Oryctolagus cuniculus: one gene and its partner. The protein of the gene in region 1 interacts with the protein of each later gene in a pairwise test. Links are inferred from orthologs where the notes say so. Each region holds a gene or a part of one and is shown in the gene's direction. Other genes may lie near its edges.

What was found.
Region 2: the proteins of PEX5 (region 1) and ECH1 interact in a two-hybrid assay, tested with the Homo sapiens proteins (2 studies listed by BioGRID and IntAct, with this or other methods). The link is inferred for Oryctolagus cuniculus from reciprocal best matches to the Homo sapiens genes PEX5 and ECH1.

The regions. Positions count from the first base shown.
Region 1 is NC_091440.1:102,353,184-102,362,358, reverse strand, and holds the end of PEX5 (peroxisomal biogenesis factor 5), read left to right. Parts: intron 1-3,713; coding exon 3,714-3,857; intron 3,858-4,000; coding exon 4,001-4,071; intron 4,072-4,417; coding exon 4,418-4,630; intron 4,631-4,933; coding exon 4,934-5,099; intron 5,100-5,434; coding exon 5,435-5,592; intron 5,593-5,758; coding exon 5,759-5,960; 3' UTR 5,961-5,979; exon of another isoform or gene 5,980-6,913; 3' UTR 6,914-7,171; downstream 7,172-9,175.
Region 2 is NC_091449.1:15,908,630-15,916,047, forward strand, and holds the start of ECH1 (delta(3,5)-Delta(2,4)-dienoyl-CoA isomerase, mitochondrial), read left to right. Parts: upstream 1-1,298; 5' UTR 1,299-2,586; coding exon 2,587-2,638; intron 2,639-2,938; coding exon 2,939-3,146; intron 3,147-3,232; coding exon 3,233-3,321; intron 3,322-7,418. UniProt on the Homo sapiens protein: Isomerization of 3-trans,5-cis-dienoyl-CoA to 2-trans,4-trans-dienoyl-CoA.

The DNA.
Region 1 (9,175 bases):
GAAAGTCAGAGTTATATAGAGAAGGAGAGGCAGAGAGGGAGAGAGAGGTGTCTTCCATCTGTTGGTTCACTCCCCAATTGGCTGCAATGGCTGAAGCTTTGCCTATCCAAAGCCAGGAGCTTCTTCCATGTCTCCCACGCGGGTGCAGGGACCCAAAGACTTGGGCCATCTTCCACTGCTCTCCCAGGCCATAGCAGAGAGCTGGATCAGAAGTGGAACAGCTGGAACTTGAACTGGCACCCATATGGGATGCTGGCACTGCAGGTGGCAGCTTTACCCACTACACCACAGCGCCGGCCCAAGGAATATAGTTATTCTTCCCACCATACCCGTCCTCCCACCCTTCTTCCTCCTCCCCCTCCCCTTCCCGGTCCCATTCTCCACTAAGATTCATTTTCAGTTAACTTTGTAGCATTCACTCCTTTTTAATTCTATCTATTATTTTTACCAGACCCTTAATCTTATCCATATGATCATTTTAACAATTAAGATGGTATTTTTACCACCCAGCTTAAGGGTCTTTGGGGTTCCATGGCAAGTTTTTAAATTGTACCTTTAGAAGTAAGTCCTTAGGAATGCATGCAGAACTATACAGCTTTACAGTTGCAAACTTCATACACTTCCTAATTACAACTTTAGGAACATGGTGATTCTTCCCACCATGCCCACCCTCTCACCCATACTCCCAAACCCTCCTCCTCCTCTCTCTCTTATTCCCACTCTTATTTTTTACTGAGATCTATTTTCAATTGACTTTATACACACGTTTAACTTTAATTAAAGAGTTCAACAAATAGTATAAAAAAACCCAAAATTGTTCCTCAACAGTCAAAACAAAATGGCTGTTCTAGCTATTGCTTCTCAAAGTGTCAATTTCATGTATACAGTTTGCCTTTTAGGTGCTCTATTAGTTACCACAGGTCAGAGAGAACATGTGATCTTTGTCCCTGGCTTATTTCACTAAGCATGATGTTTTCCAGATTCATCCACTTTATTGTAGATGTCTGATTTTCATTTTTTTTTATTTTTCATTTTTTTAACCACTGTGTAGTATTCCATAGTGACATATCCCATGATTTCTTTATCCAGTCTTCATTTACTGACAGTTTGGTAAGCTTCATAGAGCTCATTGACTTTGTGGCAAGTTGTACCTTTTACATAAAAATGTCCATGCTGTTGATAAACGTAGACAAAATGTTAATTTCGTATACACAGCATTTCCTGTTATTTACTGGTATTACAGTTACATTTATGACATGCAGAATAATTTTTAGTTAAAAATTATGTTTGTAGATTCTTAAACCCTGTTTGAGGTTATGCCTTAGAATAGTTAGGATTAGAAACATTAATTGCATTAATTTTCCATAAAAAATGCTATCCTTTCTATTGGCTTTACACTAAATAATACTAGTTATATGTCAATACTTTCAAAAAGTGTGGATCTCATACTTGATCATGTTAGTAGCTCTGAAAGGCAGGAATTACGTTCCTTAGGAAATTATGTTGTAGATGACAGTAATCTGTCTCTTTCAGCGTGGTTTAATGCATGGATTAATGCTGGGCAGTAGATGAGGTAGAATGATCTATTTATTTTATTTACTTTTTATTAAGATTTCTTTATTTATTTGAAAGAGTTACAGAGAGGGAGAGATCTTCTATCTGGTGGTTTACTCCCTGGATGCAGTGGCAGGGCTGGGCCAGACCAAAAGCAGGAGCCAGGAGCTTCACCTAGGTCTCCCAAGTGGGTGGCAGGGACCCAAACACTTGGGCCATCTTCTGTTGCTTTTCTCAGGTCATTAGTGGGGAGCTCTATCAGAAGTGGAGCAGCCGGGACAAGAACCGGCACCCTTATGAGATGCCAGCATCGCAGGCGGCGGTTTTACCCACTGAGCCACAGTGCTGCCCCAGGATTGATGTTACTGATTCTCATAAAGGGTTGGCAGTCTTTGGCCTTTGGAGTAAATCTGCTTGATACTTCATTCTGTATGGCCATTAGCTGAGAATGATTTTAAATGGTTGAAAAAAGCAATATTTTGTGTCACATGAAAATTATGAAATTCACATTTCAGTGTCCATAAAGTTTGGTTGGAACGCAGCCATGCTTATTTGGTTACGTGCTGTCTGGTGCACGCGTGCTGTGACGCTTGAGTTGAGTAGTTGCGGCAGACCTGCGAAGCAGGTCTTTTTATAGAAAAAGTTTGCTGATCCGTGGAGTAGGTTCGTTTTCTGCCTTCCGAGTTTTTAAACTGCACAGAGATGTCTCAAGAACCTGACTGTTTTTCACGAGTATACTGTTTATAAAATGCTTAGCTCAGATCTGTCTCCTATAATGTATCTCTCTCCCTTCCTATACTCCCAGGGTAGCTGTCCAGTTTTCCTTTGTGACAAACAATTTACTTCTGAGAGTTTAGAGTGTTGCTGATGGGGTGTGTTTCTGATTCTTTACATTTCACAATAAAAATGAAAAAGGCCTTGTTTATTCTTTTTTTTTAAGGTTTATTTATTTATTTGAAAGGCAGGGTGACAGAGAGGCAGAGGCAGAGATAGAGAGAGGTCTTCCATCTGCTGGTTCACTCCTCAAATGGCTGCAACGGCCGGAGCTGCGCCAATCCGAAGCCAGGAACCAGGAGCTTCTTTAGGTACAGGGTCCCAGGGACTAGGGCCATCTTCTGCTGCTTTCCCAGGCCATAACAGAGAGCTGGATCAGAAGTGGACCAGCCAGGACTCAAATTGGTGCCCACATGGGATGCTGGCACTGCAGATGGCGGCTTTACCCACTGCGCCACAGCCCTGGCCCCAGGCCTCGTTTATTCTAATTTGTCCTTACCAGACTTAGAAATATTTTATATCTTGTGGTATATTGCTTTGTGATGGAATTTATTTACTCATTGCAAAAGGAACATTTTATTTACTTGTCCCAAGACATAGGGCTTCCTAGTGATTTGCGTCTTACCTTATTACCCCCCTTGCTGAAGTGCCAGCCGACGAAACTCTTGGCGTCATAACTCTTCTCTTGAATGACAGATCCTCAGCTGGGAGAGGACAGTGTCTTGTAGACGTGTTTTGGGAGCGAGTTCTGACTTCTGTTCAGGTCACAGATTAATATTCAGAATTATTAAAAATGAAATTGGCGGGAGAAAAGAATGCAATTGGAATAAGTTAAGGTTTTTGAAGTGCTTGTATGCATCTTAGTGCACACAGTGACCCCAGGGAGCCAGGTAGAGTTGCATTTGAATTTCAGAGCTTCTGACTCCAAATTTCATTTCCTTTTTATGTTATCGCATTATTTAGGAATAACGAGAAGTGCGCTTAGAACAGCTAAGGAGGGTTTATCTCATTCCTTTCAACAGGTCCTACTAAGAAACCTGTTCTGCCGTAGAGTAAAAAGTCAGCGAACGAGGTAGCACTGTGGGCGCCTGAGGACTTCCTAATGACAGGCCTGCTGCCAGTGTGGAGCAGTCTGTAGGCTTGCCTGGCAGCCGGTTACTGTGAGCGGGAGTTGGCAGCCCGGGTGTGAGGCTGAGTGGTCTTTCTGTCGTCCTGGGTGGTCTTTGTGAGACCAGCACAGAGACTCTGCCAGCCTTTGGTTCTGGTCCCTGCGTGGAAGCCTCCGCCTTTTCCAGCTCTGCCCTGGTTGTCGTCCTTGCGTGCCTGCTGCCGTGGTCCGGGTGGCTCCCTCTCAGACCATTTCCCATGTGCTTGCTTCCCTGCAGGGGTACCAGTTTGAGGAAGAGAACCCCCTGCGCGACCACCCTCAGCCTTTTGAAGAAGGGCTGCGGCGGCTTCAGGAAGGGGACCTGCCGAATGCCGTGCTGCTCTTCGAGGCCGCTGTGCAGCAGGACCCTAAGCACATGGAAGTGGGTGGCTCACCCCGAGTTCAGACAGGACTTCTCAGGGCGGCCCCAGAGTGCACATGGGGCAGGATGGGGGTTAGGGGGAGATGGGGAGGGACGAGGGACAGCAGACCAGAAGGGTGATGGAGCTGACAACTTCCCTGCAGGCGTGGCAGTATCTGGGCACCACCCAGGCAGAGAACGAGCAAGAACTCCTCGCCATCAGCGCGCTGCGGAGGTGAGTGCGCAGAGGGTGGGAGCGAGGTGGTTCTGGGCTCTGCAGGTGGTCTCCAAGGTGCCGGGAGCGCAGGCCTGGCCCCTGTGTCCCTGGCTGATGGCGAGAGTGTTTCCTCAGCACTGAGGCCCAGAGTGCGGCTTCTGGGGTTCCCTCGCTGCTAGAGCGCTGCGTTTCTTAGACCTGTAAGTGACTAGCTCTCACGGCGGAAGGTTTCTGTGTCTTAATCTGAGGAGCCTGGGCAGGTGAAGCCGTCGTGACTGCATTTCGAAATCTGGCTTGGATCCCAGACTGCTGCTGGGTGCCGGTGTCATTGCAGGTACCAAGTGTGCTCATCTCTGCCCAACAGGTGCCTGGAGCTAAAGCCAGACAACCGGACAGCACTGATGGCGCTAGCCGTGAGCTTCACCAACGAGTCCCTCCAGCGCCAGGCCTGTGAGACCCTGCGGGACTGGCTGCGCTACACCCCAGCCTATGCACATCTGGTAGCGCCTGGTGAAGAAGGGGCTGGCGGGGCAGGACTGGGTCCCAGCAAGCGCCTCCTGGGATCTCTGTTGTCTGAGTGAGTGTGAGGGCTTCCTGGCACGGTTAATTACTGGAAACTGGGCCTCAGGAGGAAGGTGGCCTTGATTTTGGAAGTTTGGACAGACTGGGACTCAAGGGTCTAGGAGGGGGAAGGGAGGCCCAGGTCTGCGTGTACCCAGTGCACTGCTGGGATGAAACAGGAAGATGGGCTTCTAAGTTGGGGTTTGTGAGTAGCAGGGAGGGCTGATACGTTGATGAATTCTGGGGCTGTGATTGACTAATTTTTAGGAGCTGTTTGGGGACTGACATTGTTTTGGGGTGTGTGTGCTTCCTCATCTAGCTCCCTATTTCTTGAAGTGAAAGAGCTCTTCCTGGCAGCTGTGCGCCTGGACCCGACGTCCATCGACCCTGACGTGCAGTGTGGCCTGGGAGTCCTCTTCAACCTGAGTGGGGAGTATGACAAGGCCGTGGACTGCTTCACAGCCGCCCTCAGCGTGCGTCCTGATGTGAGCCTCAGGCCAGGGGTGGGGATGGGATGTGACCCTGTATCTTACTGGAGGACCATTTGTTGTGCATTTTGGAGTCACAAGATAATTATGGGCCAGCATTGCATGCACTGCCTGCCTTGGGAGGGTTCGGAAGGAAGGGTGGGGGTGCAGAGTCATCTGGGCATAGGGAGTCTGCCTGGGGAGGGAGAGGTTACGAGGTTACACTGTGGCCACAGTGAGGAAGCACGATGGGATAGTCACATGTGCTAGCTAAACAGAGCAGGTGGAGGAATGGGCAGAATTTGATCTCACACTAGTTGTATGTTCCCAACCCCTTCTCCCTCCTTTCCCAGGACTACTTGCTGTGGAATAAGCTAGGGGCCACCCTGGCCAATGGGAACCAGAGTGAAGAAGCCGTGGCTGCGTACCGCCGTGCCCTGGAACTGCAGCCGGGCTATATCCGGTCCCGCTATAACCTGGGCATCAGCTGCATCAATCTTGGGGCTCACCGGTGAGAGTACCTCTGGAGTAATGGATGAACGCACTGTTTCTCCTGCCTTGGCCCTAGCCCCTCGTCCTCTGATCCTAACTAGCCTCGCAGCCTTCTGTCTCCCAAGACTACCTGACCTGCCTGCTTCCATTGTGCTCACAAGCGGTCATTCCTCCTTTCCCCACAGGGAGGCAGTGGAACACTTTCTGGAGGCCCTGAACATGCAGAGGAAAAGCCGAGGCCCTCGAGGTGAAGGGGGTGCCATGTCCGAGAACATCTGGAGCACCCTGCGTTTGGCGTTGTCCATGTTGGGCCAGAGTGACGCCTACGGGGCGGCTGATGCCCGGGACCTGCCTGCCCTCCTAGCTATGTTTGGCCTGCCCCAGTGACAGTGGGATGGGCTGCCCTGTGAGTGTCTGCTGGAGGGGTCCCCGCTCGGGATGTGACTCCCTCCCCCCAAATGGGCCTACCGAGGGGGTGGGCTGATGATCGCTGGCGGGACAGCCTCTCAGGAGCTGCCTCAGAGCAGGGGTGCAGAGTCCACGTGTCGTTCCTGCGTAATCGTGGGAAAAGGAACTGTGTTGTCTCTGAGTCCTTTGGTGATTCAGGGACTGCACGTTCAGCCCCAGGTCTCTCTCTGCTCACCGTGCCCTCTCCTGGTGCTGCTTTTTGGGTAGGACCCGATGGCTGTCACCAGCCACCGTGTCTGTGGGGTCCACCACATTTGTCATGTCTGTCCTTTCCCCCGCTTTGTTGGAAGTTGGTAACAGTCCAGCCTTCCTGGGCAATTGTGTGTGGGCAGTTCTTCATCGTGCATCTCTGACGTCGACTCCGGGATGGGATGTTAGCAGCTGGCTGAGGAGAGTGGAGTTGTGTTAGGGGCACACAGAGTTCTGTCATTCTTGGACCTCATGGCTGTGAGTTAGATCGCCTGATAGGATGCTGCTGCAGTAATGCTGGGGGAGTTCCCGTGGGCTCCTCTGGAGCTGCTGGGTCAGTTGCTACAGAGAGCGTTTGGGTGTGGGATAGGAGGAAGGCTCATTTTGGGGACGAGCCTATAGGGGACTGATGGGATCAGATCAGGGACTCCGTCCTGGAGCCTTTGGTGGGAGGACGGAGCGAGTGGGATGAGGAGCGTGGTGAATGCAGCAGTCCCTCTTAGGAAGAACTGTGAGTAGGAATCAGGCCAACTCTTCTAGAAAGTTGGTTCAGAAATTGTAATCTTGCCAAATTCCTAGCAGAGAGGGGGTTCAGTATTACCATAAGCCTTTGCTATACTTCTTGAAATATTTCCAGGGGGAGAGGGTTGACAAGCCCCCTCCCCTCATGTTACCTCCACAAGGTGAAGATGGAGGGAAGCCGAGGTAGCCTGGATTCTTGTCACCCGGCCCTGCGTGGGGAGACGCATGACCACTGGCAGTGACTGCGAAGCCTCCTGCCGCCTTGTCTTCAGTAGCTAATGATCAGAGAGATTTTTTTTAAACTACCATGGGCCCCAGGTTCCATCTGAAATTTATTTTTCTTTGTATGAATATGTGTAAATGATTTAAAAATAAAACTGTAAAATATTTGTATGAAGAATAAATGGAACTAATGTGGATATGAATTCTGCTGAAGTTGGTGGTGGGAAGTGGGTTGGTCTTCATCTTTCCAGTTCTCATTGGCATGTTGATCACCCATCCATCTACCCAGCAATTACTGAGCACCTAACGTGTGCGGGTACGACGGGTAAGACGGACAAGGACACTGTGCTCCTGGAGCCTCGGGCTTGGCAGGAGACACAGATGTTTGCGGATGGTGAAGTTTTACACTTGAGTTCCCCCTGCAAAGGAGACTCCACAGAGCTGTCTCATCATTGGGTTGTTTTCTGTTATGATTATGTGCGTTGGTTTTGATAGTTTGTTTCCAGTGTTCAGGCTTCTAAAGGTTTCACTGGGCTTTGCCTGTCTTGTCAGGAATTATATAAAGAGCCTTCGCAACATGGAAATCTATTCCAAGGAAAACATTTAAACTGCAAGCAAATATTTATGTGTTTATCAGTATGAATATTTTGGAGATAGGTGTCCATGGCCACATCAGAATAGGAAAAAAAGAAAACTCAGAACTGGGTCAGCAAATTATCCAGATAGCAGATAAAATAGCTGCTGATATTTAGGGGACAGTTCCCAGTGACAGTAGATGCTAACTTCAATGAGGGGAAAAGGTTAGCAAACTGCTTAAGGTTACCTTGCAAACCATGTGTTGAAAAGGCAGAAGGAGTATTCCTGGTATAGTAAGCGTGTGACAGTTAGGTGTGAATTTCCCGTCATAGTTCTGGGTAATTTCCGAGTTTTCTTAGCGCATGTGTAGTGGTTTCGTGGCGGCCGTGACCCCAGGGCAGTGGGGTCCTGGGCTCCGCAGAGTGGTGGAGCATGGCCACTGGCCTGGGAGTGAGGCAGCAGGCGCAGGGCGTGGGCTCCACGCCACACACACAGGAAGGGGCGAAGTCTGGCTGAATAAATGGCTTATGAGGGCCTGCGTGGCATGGTGGGTAGATCTGCTGCCTGCAGTGCCGGCGTCCCATGTGGGCTTCGGTTCAAGCTGCTCCACATCTGATCGAAGTCCATACTAATGGCCTGGGAAGAGCATCACATTGGAAGAGACTAAGACCTTGGGCCCCTGTACCCACAAGGAAGACCTGAATGAAGCTCCTGGCTCCTGGCCCAGCCCAGCTCCAATGTTGGGACCATTTGAGGGAGTGAACCAGTAGATGGAAGCTGTCTCACTCTGTAACTCTTTCAAGTAAGTAAATTAAATCTTAAAAAAAGGGGGGGGGGGCACAGCGAGTTAACACACTAGCCTGAAGCACTGGCATCCCATATGGGTGTGGTTCAAGGGCTGCTCCACTTCCATCCAGCTCTCTGCTATGGCCTGGGAAAGCAGTAGAAGATGGCCCAAGCCCTTGGGCCCCTGCATCCACGTGGGATACTGGGAAGACGCTCACGGCTCCTGGCTTCAGATCCGTGCAGTGCTGACCGTTGCGGCCAGTTGGGTAATGAACCATCAGATGGAAGACTCCTCCCTCCCTCTTTCCCTCCCTCTGCCTTTCCTCTCTCCGTGTAACTCTGACTTTCAAATAAATAAATAAATGTTTTAAAAAAAAATGCGTAAGAACCGAGTTTGCACCTGGTTTAAGGCACAGCTCCGGGTTCACATGCCTCACCTGCTCTCGGTAGCATGAAAGTGCCCAGGAGGATGCTTTTTTTGCACAACCAGTGCCTGGTACATATTTGGAACCCAACTCAGATTCAGCCAATGTTTATTTTTTATTCTTGGAGTTTTATATTTTAAAGATTTACTTACTTGAGAAGTTGGGTTACAGAGAGATCTTCATAAATGGTTCACTACCCAAATGGCCACAATGGTTGGAGCTGGGCTGATTTGAAGCCAGGAGCTTCTTCCTGGTCTCCCATGCAGGTGCAGGGGCCCAAGGACTTGGGCCATCTAATCCTTTCCAGGCCATAGCAGAGAGCTAGATTGGAAGAGGAGCAGCCAGGACTAGAACCAGTGCCCATTTGGGATGCCAGCACTGCAGGCAGAGGCTTAGCCCACTAGGCCACAGTAC
Region 2 (7,418 bases), on another chromosome or scaffold:
AAAGACCAAACTTGCTGGGGTGTCAGGACATGGTGCCTCCCTCCCTCCCACTCAGTCTTCTGCAGAGGTGCAGGCAGGCCAGGGTGCAGACTCAGGATTGACGCTGGAGTGGAGCCGTTTGGCGAGAAGTCTGGCAGGCCCGGTGGCGTTGTTAGTGGGCCCTGCCCAAGCCAGGGCCTAGCTCCAGAGTGGCGTGAGGGAAATGGCAGGCTGGGTGTACAGCACGTGGTTGTCACCACTTGAGATGCCTGCGTGGAGTTCTGGCCACTCCACTTTGCATCCAGCTTCCTGCAAATGTACACCCTGGGAGGCAGCAGATGGTGGCCCGAGTGCTTGGCCCTTGCCACCCATGGGGGAGACCAAGGTTGATTCCTGGGCCTCTAGAAAATGAACCAGTGGATAGGAAGGAGGTCTGTATCCATCTTTGAAATAAAATGAAAATAAAAAGTGAATGGTGTTAAAAATTTAAAACTTCCAGAGAGACCCCATAATGGGCCTTAATTCTAAAAAGTGAACACCTGCTATTTAGTAAGTTTGAGGTTAGCAGTTTTTTGTGAATTTTTCCCTGAAAAGAATGTTCTTGGCATTGTATGGTGTCCTGTCTTCCACGTTCTGAGCTGGCTTCCTTACCCTTGCCACTGTCATTTACTTAACCCCGTCGTAAAGGTGTTCCGAGGTGTGTGGCTACCGCAGCAGCACTGCAGTGTGTCTACGAGCAGCCTGCTACCCTGATGCTACTCTGGACGCAAACTCCTGCTGGTGGCGTGGGCTGAAGGCTGGGGCAGCAGTGGCAACGGGACGTTGTGTCATCCCCCTCCCTCCCGCTTGAAGATGGGAACCTGTAAAGATGGCTGGCTCGTGGGGGGTGCGGTGCAGTCTGACATGAACTTGGCTTAAGGACTTTGACCTACACAGAGATGTGGCCTGCAGAGGAGGGGGTCACAGCTTCACCTTGGGGTTCACTACATGTACTTGAACACTTGTTTTGTGAGCTTCCTGTAAGGACGTTTTGAAACTTAACACTTGGCATCTGAAGCCAGATGGCTTCTGTCGGAGAGCGGCTTCGCCAGGGGAGTTTGAAACCTCTGGATGAGGAGAGACTACAGTCACCTTGCTGCCATAAACTTGGAAACCCACTAGCGTTGGCTTTTACTTCTTATGTGAGGTTTATTTTTTTTAAAGATTTATTTATGTATTTGATAGTAAGAGTTAACAGGAGAGGCAGAGAGAGAGGTTTTCCATCCACTGGTTTACTCCCCAATTGGCCACAATGGCTGGAGCTGTGCTGATCTGAAGCCGGGAGCCAGGAGCTTCTTGTGGATCTCCCACGTGGGCCCAGGGGCCCAAGGACTTGGGCCATCTTCTGCTTTCCCAGGCCATAGCAGCTGGATCGGAAGCAGCCAGGACTGGTGCCCATATGGGATGCTGGCGCTGCAGGCTGTGGCTTTACCTGCTGTGCCACAGTGCCAGCCCCTTTATGTAATGCTTTGATAAAGACACATTGTCTGATGATCAAGTCAGCTTAATTGGTATATATATATTACCATAATTTTGTGATGAAAACGTTCCAGAACCACCTTAGCTGTTTGGAAATAGACAATATGCTGTTAACCTTGCTGTGCAAAAGAATAGGTTTTTTGTTTAACAGGAAGGGAGAGACTTTGTTGGTTCACTCCCCAAATGGCTGCAGTGGCCAGGGCTGGGCCAGCCAGGAGTTTCATCGGGGTCTGTCACACAGGTGGAGTGCAAGCACTTGGGCCAGCCTCCGCTGCTCTCTGCACACTAGTAGGGAGCTGGATCTGAAGTGGAGCAGCCGGGACTCAACCAGTAACTATGGGATGCAGGTGCTGCAGGAGGCCCCCTAACCTGCTCTGCCCCAGGATCAGTGTTTTCCCAGTATGCCCTGGGGCGCAGTTTCATCTCCTGTTAGCACTCCTTGCAGGGACAACATCCCATGTGTGTGCAACCTAACCTTTTACAGCGAAGCATCCTACCAAATGTCCTAAAGTTGTATCCTGTCACATCTTGGAAGTCTGGGTAGGAGGTCCAGTGTGCTCCAGTGGCCCTGCGGACTGTCCCCCACGGCAGAGCCTGCCTATCCGGGCTAAAATCAGGAGACATGCGCGTTAAGCAGCGTCCCCTCCACCCACTGGCCCGCAGCCCCTGGCATTTCCGGGCGTTTTCCGAGGGCTCTTTCTGCGCCCGCGTCCTTGAGCTAGACGCCCGCTGCCTAGATCCCGCAGCCCGCCTGTGATCCCGTGCCTTTACCGCATGATCTCTTCACCAGTTAACATGAAGTGACTGCGGCCATTGCGTCCTTGGACACAGGACCGGGCTGTGATAAACTTTACCCCGCAGTCATAACAGTTGTTTCCTCGGGCACGGTTCCCACTGGGACAAAGTTTTAACGCTTAAGCCTCAGCATGCCGGCCGGCTTGCGGCGCTGTTGCTGGTTGCCCTTAGTAAAGATGGCGGAAGGGGCGCTTTAGGGCTGTTCCACTGCGGCTTCCGTGCCCTCACCTGACATGGCGGCCTCTTGGGCCCGCCCCTTGGCTTCCTCCCGCCGGGTTCCACGACTCGGTCCCGATGGCGACGGCGATGGCGGCCACTCGCGGTCTCCGCGACCTGCTGATGCGGCGTGAGTCACTTCCTGACCTGTGGGGATCTGTTGTGCTGTCCAAGCGGCTGTAGGACCACTCGGGGTCACGGAGGGTCCTCGCGCCCCCGCCTAAAGGGTTACTCATTACAGTCTGGGGGCACTGATGACTCCATGTCCCCATGGGTCTGGAACCACTGAGCAGTGCACCCTGATGTTAAACCCAAGTCTCTGAGGGGCCGTGTTCCCCGCCTGTGGGGCCCTGGTGCGCCCTCTGCTCTCAGAAGCGCTGTGTGCCCCCTCGGGGGTCCTCAGAGGCCCTTCCTTCCTCTGTCTCCCTAGGACTGGCAGCTCCCAGCTGCCCGGGCTTCAGCCTTGGCCTCCGCCCGCTGGGCACCTCCGCCCACGGCGAGGCCCCCAGAGCAGCCCCCTGCGAAGCCCCGGGCCACAGCTACGAGTCCCTCCTGGTGACGGCCGCCCAGAAGCATGTCCTGCATGTGCAGCTGCACCGGCCCGACAGGAGGAATGCCATGAACAAGGCTTTCTGGAGGTCTGGCGGCCCTCGGGGTGGCCGGGGTGGGGGACAGACGGATGGCCGTGAGCCGGTGCGGCCCCTCATCCCTGGCTCCTCCGCAGCGAGATGGTGGAGTGCTTCAACAAAATAGCGCAAGACTCCGAGTGCCGGGCCGTGGTGATCTCCGGGGCGGGGAAGATGTTCTCGTCAGGTACCTGCGGCGCCGCGCACCCCGCCTCCCCGCGCCTGGCCACAGAGCCGCGCTTCCAACTAGCGCCTCGATCCTTTCTTTCTTGAAGTCCTCACTTAAGGCATTCAGCTCTGGAAAGTAGCCTTGACCTCTGAGAGCCTGTAGCCAGGAGCAGAAGCGCGTGGGCTCCCAGCCCTGGCCCTGCGTCTTTGACCTCTGAGAGCCTGTAGCCAGGAGCAGAAGTGCGTGGGCTCCCAGCCCTGGCCCTGTGTCCTTGACCTCTGAGAGCCTGTAGCCAGGAGCAGAAGCGCGTGGGCTCCCAGCCCTGGCCCTGTGTCCTTGACCTCTGAGAGCCTGTAGCCAGGAGCAGAAGCGCGTGGGCTCCCAGCCCTGGCCCTGTGTCCTTGACCTCTGAGAGCCTGTAGCCGAGTTGGCCTGGCGCTCCCACACCCTCGCCTGCTGGGCTCGCCTGCATTCTTCGCATTTCAGCTGTCCGTTCTGATTTCCATGGGGTTTATTTTAAAAATTTTCTATTTCTGTGCTGAAGTTTCCTTTCTGTTTGTCATGAGCTTTTTTTTTTTAATTTTTCTTTTTGTTTAAGATTTATTTTATTTATAGAAGAGGAGGAGAGAGTAAGGTCTTCCTTTTGCTGTGTTCGCTCCCCAAAATGGCCCCAACCACTGGGGTTAGGCCAGGCCAAAGCCAGGAGCCAGGAGCTTCCTCTGGGTCTCCCACATGGGTGCAGGGGCCCAAGCACTTGGGCCATCTTCCACTGCTTTCCTCCATGCATTAGCAGGAGCTGGATCGGAAAAGCAGCCGGGACTCGAACCCTCACCTCTATGGGATGCTGGTGCCGCAGGCCGAGGCTTACCCTGCTGTGCCACAGCGCCAGCCCCTGTGAGTGTAGTTGTAAGGGCTGCTTTAAAATCCCATTCTCCCAGGTCTGACATCTGGGTCTTCTTGTGGCCCGTCTCTGTTTATCATCTTTTCTTCTGAAAATGGCTCTCACAGGCCTGTGTGTGTGTTTCGAGTCAGTTTGCACTGTGCTCTGGGTATTGGCGTGTAGCAATAGGGGGTTGTGCAAACTCCAGATTCCATGACACAGTTATATCTAACATGCTGGGACATGGTTATATCCATCACTGGTGAATTTCTTGTTTGAGCAGCTTAGTTGCAATTACATTTTCTTGTGCTGGGCTGCAGGGATGGTTCCCAAATCAGCATGAGATTTGGGCACAGGTTGTTAATTTATTTATTATCTATTTTAAAATATCTTAAATGTGTTTTCATTTTATTTGAGAGACAGACTGGGAGACCTCTTCCCTGCAGTTGGTTCATTCCCAAGATGCCCACAGCAGCCAGGGCTGGACCAGGCCTAGGTCAGGAGCCAGGAGCTCCATCGGGGTCTCCCATGTGGGTGGCAGCAGCTCCAGGACTTGCACCATCATCTGCCGCCTCCCAGAAGCATCGGCAGGAAGCTGGATCGGAAGTGTGGAGTTGCCGGGACTCAAAGCGGCTTCCTGGCAAACAGTCACCCTTTGCCATGCCATAAACATTGTCATCCTAGTCTCCTGGTCTGAAGAAAATGCGGTGCTACCAGCACCTGCCCCCCCACCCCAGGTTGCCGTGAGGAGCAGGCGTCAGGTCCAGGTCGGGCAGCTACTGAGGTAGCCGCTGTTTCCTGTGATTATAAAAAACCACAGGGGCCGGCACTGTGGCACAGCAGGTTAAGCCATTGTCTGCAGTGCCGGCATCCCATATGGTTATGGGTTCAAGTCCTGGCTGCTCCACTTCTGATCCGGCTCCCTGCTAATGTGCCTGGGAAAGCAGTAGAAGATGGCCCAAGTGCTTGGGCTCCTGTTACCCATATGGGAGACCCAGAAGAAGTTCCTGACTCTTGGCTTAGGTGTGGCTCAGCCCTGGCCATTGGTGGCCATCTGGGGAGTGAACCAGCAGATGGAAGACCTCTCTCTCTCTGCAACTCTGACTTTCAAATAAATAAATAAATCTTTACCGCGGCTCACTAGGCTAATCTTCCGCCTTGCGGCACCGGCACACCGGGTTCTAGTCCCGGTCGGGGCGCCGGATTCTGTCCCGGCTGCCCCTCTTCCAGGCCAGCTTTCTGCTGTGGCCAGGGAGTGCAGTGGAGGATGGCCCAAGTGCTTGGGCCCTGCACCCACATGGGAGACCAGGAGAAGTACCTGGCTCCTGCCTTTGGATCAGCGCGGTACGCCGGCCGCAGCGGCCATTGGAGGGTGAACCAATGGCAAAGGAAGACCTTTCTCTCTGTCTCTCTCTCACTGTCCACTCTGCCTGTCAAAAAAAAAAAAAAATCTTTACCAAAACAGTAAATAAATGCATAACGACAGGATGGCCCGAAGGACGTTGAAGCACGCACAGGTTCCCCAGGGAAGGAGGCGGAGCTTCTGCATAATGATTTTTCCTGAAGATCTTCGTCATTGATTTTGGTTGATTTGAAAGGCAGAAAGACAGAGATCTTCCATCTGCTGGCCCATGCCCAGATGCCCACACAGCCAGGCAGGGCTGGACCAGGCTGAAGCCAGGAGACTCGAGTGTGTGTGAGCAGGAAGCTGGCATTAGAAGCAGAGCCCAGACTCAAACCCAGGCACTCCCCTGTGGGAAGCAGGTGTCCCGAGCAGGATCCAAATGCCCACCCCACTGTGATTTGTTCTTGCTTTGGGCCAGCCGCCGGGGGGCCATGCTCTGGGGCCCTTCACTGCACTGGGCTGCCAGTGCCGATGTCGCAGGTCTGGGCGGGAGTGGGGCAGGGAACCAGAAAAGCCGGTGAGCGGAGAGGAGCTTGTGCAAGGCATGGGCAGAGCCCTGGCGCGTCACAGGTGTGGCAGCCACAGGTGCCAGCAGGCGGTCAGGCGCAGACCCAGTGAACAGCAGGGGCTCCTATGACGCTGTCGCGTGCTAGGCACTGCTGCAGCCACCTCCAGGCCGCCATCCCCGAGTGCCCGCGCAGCCTGGCCAGCTGCCGGGGTCCATCAGCACTGGTCAGAGAAGACACCCCAGGCCCGAGGAGGAGGCGAGCTGGCCAGGGACCTGGAGCGAGTCCTGCCGTCCCGGGCCCAGCCCTGCTTGGAGCCCACACTCCTCTGACCTTTAGTTATTTAATCATTAGTAGTATTTTTACTGTTTTTAAAGAAATTATGAATTTGAAAGGCATAGTTACAGAGAGAGAAAGAGAGAGGTCTTCCATCCTCTGGTTTACACAATGGCCAGGGCTGGGGCAGGCTGAAGCCTGGAGCCTGGGGCCCCATCCAAGCACTTGGGCCATCTTCGGCTCTCCCAGGCACGTTGGCAGGGAGCTGGATCAGAATGGAGCAGCTGAGACTCGAAGTGGTGCCATATAGGATGCTGGCGTCACAGGCAGCGGCTTAACCCAATGCAGCAGCACACTGGCCCTAACGTCTTACTTTTCAAAAATTTTATTTGGGGGCCAGCGCTGTGGCATAGATTAGCCATCTGCTTGTGGCACTGGCATCTCATTTGGGTGCTGGTTCAAGTCCCGGCTGCTCCATTTCCAGCCCAGCTCTCTACTATGGCCTGGGAAAGCAGTGGAAGCTGGGCCAAGCACTTGGGTCCCGGCACCTGCTTGGGAGACCTGGAAGAAGCTCCTGGCTCCTGGCTTCAGATCAGCCTAGCTCAGCCATTGCGGCCATTTGGGGAGTGAACCAGCAGATGGAATACCTCTCTCTGTCTCTTCCTCTCTCTGTTTATAACAGTGACTCTCAAGTAAATAAATAAATCTTTAAAAAAAAAGTTTTATTTGACAAACAGATGGAGAAAGAAATCTCTCATCCGCTGATTCATGGCCCGGTGCCCACAGCAGCCAAGGGGTTGAAGCCAGGAGCTGGGAGCTCAGTCCAGGTGTGCAGTGTGGGTGCAGGGACCCAGGTCCCGGAGCCGTCACTGTGCCTCCCAGGGGGCACTCTCCCAGGATGCTGGAGTCGGAAACCGGAGCTGTGGTTGTCCCACGTGGGCGGCGCAGGCGTCCTAACCAGTGGCTTAACCACTAGGCTGGACAACCACCTCTGGCCCCTCTTATTTAAACAGAGAAGCCCCGGAGAGCCAGGGCTGTGGCCAGCGTG